Linked DNA regions of Xenopus tropicalis. The protein of the gene in region 2 purifies or fractionates together with the protein of the main gene of each other region. This does not show direct contact. Links are inferred from orthologs where the notes say so. Each region holds a gene or a part of one and is shown on either strand. Other genes may lie near its edges.

What was found. The genes of interacting proteins can lie anywhere in the genome.
Region 1: the proteins of ppp6c (region 2) and ppp6r2 purify together in Homo sapiens (affinity purification with mass spectrometry; 9 studies listed by BioGRID and IntAct, counting the BioPlex papers as one, with this or other methods). This does not show direct contact. The link is inferred for Xenopus tropicalis from reciprocal best matches to the Homo sapiens genes PPP6C and PPP6R2.

What each region holds. Positions count from the first base shown.
Region 1 is NC_030679.2:89,187,915-89,191,991, reverse strand, and holds the start of ppp6r2 (serine/threonine-protein phosphatase 6 regulatory subunit 2), read right to left. Parts: upstream 2,812-4,077; 5' UTR 2,402-2,811; intron 2,296-2,401; exon of another isoform or gene 2,166-2,295; intron 1-2,165. UniProt on the Homo sapiens protein: Regulatory subunit of protein phosphatase 6 (PP6). May function as a scaffolding PP6 subunit. Involved in the PP6-mediated dephosphorylation of NFKBIE opposing its degradation in response to TNF-alpha.
Region 2 is NC_030684.2:28,164,276-28,166,522, forward strand, and holds part of ppp6c (serine/threonine-protein phosphatase 6 catalytic subunit), read right to left. Parts: coding exon 2,046-2,247; 3' UTR 1-2,045.

The DNA.
Region 1 (4,077 bases), on a different chromosome or scaffold from region 2:
ATATTTCAGAGACCTGCAATGTTCAGGGGGAAGTATATTTACTTTTCAGCATGAATTCCATGCTGAGCAAACTTTTTGTGCTGAACATACTTTTTGTCTATTGTTTTAATTTAGAATTATGTATGGTTTTTGTTGTTTCTTGAGCTAAACAAGTCAAATAAGGAAACCGAAGCTACACCATATATTTGGTCCCTGAAAGCTAGATAATTAGATTACAAGATGACAGGCAGTCCCCTGCATAATAGATCACTTCTTACCTTTAAACCAAAACAGTCACAACAAAGGGGGAAAGGATGGGGTTGCTCACTGGTAATCTCACAAGACCCAAACAGGACAAAACCCTTGTTTGTCCTGTTTAACTCAAGATATAATAACCATAGATAATGCTTAATTAAAACAAAAGGCAAAAAGTATGTTTAGCCCAGGCCCTAATCCTTTAAATACTGAGATGTTTCTTTATTTGGTTAATTTAGTTTTCAGTAGGTTTTTACGGATTTCTTTTGAAAGAACATACCATGACCCAGTGGCACCTAAATCAAATTCACACCCACTATGGTCAATTTTGTCAGGAGCCAATAAACCTACCCACACATTTTAAATGTGAGGAAATCAGGGAACCCCGAGAAAAAGCATTTTTAAATTTTAATTGTTGCCACAACTCCTTCAGGTATCTTTAAGTAACAAAAAGGGCATTATTTAATTTTTTGCGCACCCAAGGGCAAGTCTAAAAAAGTGGCTTTATAGGGCAGCCTTAGGTCTATATGATAAAAAAAAAATTTAAAACCCAGCCCATCACTGCACAATTGTAGGAAATACACAAAAGGTGCATTCAATAGCAATTACTTTTAAAAATGATTTTAGAACCATTAAAAACATTTAATACATGTATGTTGGGCAACTGCTTAGACTTGTTATTTTTTTCCATTAAAAAATCTGTTTTATGCTTGCATATATGCCGGCTCACAATGTGCGTCAAGTTTAGTCCAGTAGTCCAAAAGAAAATTAACAAACTACATTTTTACAAAAAAAAAAAATTATATTATACACAATATATATACACATATATACACAATTGTATACATGCCTAGTGGACTGTAATTCTTGCTACACTTGCTGTGTCTCTTTTTTTGTAAAAGTGCTTTGTCCTTACAGTTCTTGGGGTATCATAGCCCTTAGAACCCAGAACTATTCAGTGAATATAATGAAAAAAAAAAAGCTATTAAAAGAACAGAAAACTTTACATAACTCATTTACTTGCACAAAACAGTAAATCCAGGTGTTAAACAAGGACTAAAGAACCAATGTCCTATTTGTTCATTGAACTATTGCTGTCCCTTAAAGCTAGATATGCTTGGAGATACCAGAATCGTCTTCCTCTTTTTTTATTCTGCAATGTTTTAGGGTTGCCAAATTCCACTTCTATCACTAAGCAATCTGCAAGGGTTAGCATTAACCTCTATTGGGCCAATATGTGAGTATGGGTAACTGTATTACAGTGGGTGAGGTAGTTTTGGGCAGGAAGGGAGCAGAGATGTTATTGTTCTCTATGTGACAGAATAAATAGATAAACATTAAATGTTTATTTACTGTCTGTGTAACAGGTAACACCCCTGGGTGTAGAATGACCACAATAAATGCCTACTAATTTGACCAGTCAGTCTCTAGTAGGACTAAACCAAAGCTGATCAGGAAAAACAAACAAGCTGTCTGATTTCTTCATTCTACAGGTTGCCAGCTGCAATGGCAGACATATGTATATGATTCTCACTGTATTTATCTGACATTTATCAAGACATTTGTTTCCATGGTGCATGCTACACACATAGAGGCACTGCCATACAAAGCAAAAATCAGAGGCTTAAACACTCACTTAATAAACATGGGCGGGAACATGCAAATAACTTGTTTATGCCCCTATAGCCAACTATGTCTCCATACCAGCTAGATTAAAAGCAAAGATGCCGCCTTATTATGCAGAGCCAAACATCCATACCTACAGAGCCTTATATATGCATCCCAACCAGTCCCTTTTGCATTTACTTATTATGTTAAAAGTGTCGTCCACCTTCATGCACAGAAACCTAAGTGCAAAAAGTCTAAGCGCAGCTAAGTATGCAGAGTGAGTTTCTGTGATAGCCACAATTGTTTTGCTTAGCAGCGCTTACTTTTCTACGCTCCGGGTCGCTGTATGCCAATTGCGGGCGCTGTGAATGTGAAGGGAGAGGCGGAGCCTAATTAGCCGAGCAAGGAAGGTCACGTGTACGGTGTCCATTTTGGGACATCTATGCACCAAATTCAAGTGCTTCCTGCCCTCTCCCCCTTTTAAAAGCCCCGTCTTGATAAACAATTCTTTATTGGCCCCTCCCCTACCGTTGGTAACAGTTATGAGATTGCCTCTTACTTTGTGCTGACGGGTCAAGGCTTCCCCATTCATCCTCCTCCCTGCGATGTCACCCTTTGTCCCTCCTATAGGCGACGTCATCCCTGAGCCCTCCTCAGAACGATGTCATTCCTCGGTCTTCCTCCATCATTCTAAAGGGCTCCAGAATTCTTGCTCCTCCATCCGCCCTGCTTTCCAATTTCACACAGCTCCTCCCTGATTCCTCCCCCTTCCGCCCTGTGTCGTTCTTCATAAACCATTCCCCTTGTAATGCCGTTTCACAATCCCTCCTACTTTATTTTAACATATGCTGTAATTAAAACTATACATTTCAGTCCCACTCTTTTGCTGAGAGAAACGTCCGATTTCCCAAAGCCTCCTCTGATGGTCAGGAAAACGTTGAGCAAGAAGATTCAAGGAGAGTACGTTACAGTACTACGGTGTCCATTTTAGGACGTACATGTGCAAAATGACAGCGCAACTTGCTCCCCATTGAAAATGTCTGTTATTAATACATCTTTGTAGCACCTCCACGGGTCTGCTCTTTCTCTGTTCTCCATTTACCTGAAAAGGTAACCATATATCATAAGATTCGCTCGTTTGGCGAGGTAATTAAACTAGCAGATCTTTCTCCCACCTAAGGGCTAATTAGATCATTTAGCAAAAAATGATTAAGTTATGACAGCTATGGGAGTGAGGACTGTATCAATGAGCTGATGCATTCCTGCCCCAGGGAGGCCAGTTGGGGGCCTTATACACTGGCAGATAAGCTGCAGAATTGGTCTTAAAGGACATATCAAACATATTTTTTTGCCTAATAAAAGAAAACATAATTCTAGGCACCCTGTTTTTAAAGATGCAAATAAAGGTTGTAAGCTTTTAACATCCTATGGTTATCCAGTGTGCGTTAAGCCCCCCACCCCCGAGTTGGACCCTGAATAACTTACGGTATTTAGAATTAGGGGCACTGCTGCCATGAGGCAATTTGAGAATCTCGCCCTAGGTGGCAGCACCTGGTGGGTTTCCAGGGGTGGCTCCTGGTAACTCTTCTAGTGCAGACTGCGCACTCTGCATTAGTGATGTGGCCCCTCCTGACCCCCCTATCCCCATGGTAACAAGTTAAGCATAGGGGGAGCAGAACATACTACCTAACAGTATTCACATTTAAAGGAGAAGGAAAGGCAAAGTCACTTGGGGGTGCAAAAATGTTAGGCACCCCTAAGTGACATTAACGGCTTACCTCGTACCCCGGGCTGGTGCCCCTGTTCGGAAAAAACAGCACCAGCCTGGGGTACCTGTAGTGCAGCGCTTCCTGCTTCCTCTTCCTAAAATGCCAGCGGTCGGCTCTTGCACAGTAGAGTGAAAAGCCGACTTTTCTGTTAAAATTCGGCTTTTCACTCTACTGCGCATGCGCGCACATGGAACCAGGAAGGAGGAAGTGATCGCAGCTACCCCGGGCTGGTGCCGGGGTCTGAACAGGGGTGCCAGCCCGGGGTAAAAGGTAGGTGATTTAAGTCACATGGGGGTGCCTAACATTTTGGCACCCCCAAGTGACTTTGCCTTTATTTCTCCTTTAAGGGTGGTGTACTTTTTAGTTAAGTTTAAGTATATTATAGAATGCCCTAGCAGTAGCCAAAAACTACAAAACTAACTGTAGCCCTGTGAGGCTAAAATGTTATTGTTATTGTTACTTTTTT
Region 2 (2,247 bases):
TAATACCACACTTAGCAGCCACCTACAAAAGTGCTTTAACATTAAAAGAATTAGATAGGAAACTAGCGTTCAGCCAATAATAACCAGGAAGAAAAATTGATTCTTTTGATATTTCATAAAGGTAAGTAATCTTTGCAATCACTGATCTATTTTTATTACTTGGATTTTCTTTTTACTAAAACATTTTTGAAAATCATTTTTATTAGTTCAGTTTTGAAGCTACAGACCAGGACAGCACTGCTAACACAGGCTTTTCCCATCTGCCACCTGCTCTCAGTAAGGGATTTCCCAGATCAGGACTTGGAAGGCAAATAAAAAAAAGTTGACACTGAACTGGTTTGTGCACAAGCCTTCCCTCTGCTGCTTCACTTGCATATTGTGATACAATCAGCTGGTGAGATTCAGCCAATCGGATCAATGTAATGCAAATGAAGCAGCAGAGGGAAGGCATGGGGGGTAACCAGCTCAGTGTCAACTTCCTGGTTTGGGCAGAATGCAAGCTGGAGTTGCTGATCCCTTCATAAGACAACTGAGAGAGCAGAGGAGAGAGCCTGTCAGCAGCACTGATCCTTGTCTGTAGCTTTAAAACTAAGCATTTTAAATAATAAAGATTTATTTTTTCTGACAGGGGTTTTTCAGATTCAGACTTTTGTCCAGTCACTAGTGGTAGTAATCTCACCAACCAAAAAGATGACTAATTGGGGAGCCTGTTTACTTTAAAATAAACTTTATACCCCCGCCCTTAAAACTGCTTGCTTTTCCAATGTTTTGTTCAAACAAATGCCTGATTGGTAGGGTTTCAGTCTCACAACCAGTTTGAATTACAAACTCAAATCAAATAAAAACATTCTGTGTATGTAATAATTTGATCAAACTATGTACCAAAAATGTAAAATCTGCAAACAAGATAATTGGTTTTCACCAGTTATATAATAAATATTGAATGGCACTCAATACAATGTAAGAATGAAGCATTGCAAGTTGAACTCTGATAAACTAAAGTTTAAAAGTAGATTTGTATGATGGGATTTTTCTGACTATTCTGGACTCATTGACTTTTATAGTTTTCTCTCATTTCAAAGAGTAACACACTGAACATTTGGAAATTTCCTCTAAACAAAGCTGTTGTGTAACTATAGGGGCAGGCATAGACCGGCAACATGGCAAATGCCATAAACAGTCCCTATGTATTGGACTGGTAAGGGGGCGGTTTGGGCCTCTGTGTAATTTAAAATAATATTCCGAATTCCAGTCCAGACCTGAATAAGGGGTAGATAAACTCTGTAAAACAATCTGTTATCTGCTATAAAACCTGTTCCTTTTCTACTTTATTCAAGATTGCATGGCTGCCCCCGTGGCCTACACAGCAGCTTATTTATATTAATACATTTTTTGGTGTTACTCTTCTTCCTTTAAAATTGCATGTGCCATTGCCCTAATGATATCAGTGTGCAGCTGATCTAATGATAACCGCAATCGTAAACACTTTAATGCCATACTATAAACCAAAGCCAGCCAGCCACAGATGGGCCAATAAAAGCTGATGATTCATCCCTACAGTCAAAATCTTGAGATCGCTAGTAAATCAGCCAAATATCTATCATGCAGGTTTGAAAATACTGTTGGGTGAGGATAGTATAAGAGTGTTCATGCCATCACCTCCAGACAGCTCTGCCTAGTCCCAGATCAGATGCATTTTGGCCCTGCACATAGGTGTCAAACAAGTAATTCTACTTGTGTATGGGCATCCTAAATTATTCTTATTTTTACTGCCAGAATATTTATCCCCTCCATAAACGCAGAGTATTTTTTTCACCTTTGTTGTCGATTATCTCCATTTATTAGGAGAAACCCTTCTGGCAACAAACGGGGCCTGTAATGCAAGGACCTCTAAACAAAGAAACAATAGCGATATAAACAGAATATATATTCTATAATTTAAAAAGAAAAAAAAGGCAAGATGCAGCATTTCAGCAGCAAAGTGCTTAAAATAAAATGAAAAAAAAAGAAGAAATCCAGCACAGTACACAAAAAGTGGATGGACTTCAGAGGAAGTACGGTGTGGTGGTTCTGGGAGGGATAACCCGCTCAGAGTCAGGAACAGCTCGAAAGAGTTTTGGCTCTCGGGTGTTCACATCCTTGAAAACCATAATAGAGGCGATGTTGCCACAACGGTAGCAGTAGTTAGGAGCTGACCACACAGTCACAAGCTTCTCATCAAACATGAATTTGTAGCCCTCATGCACT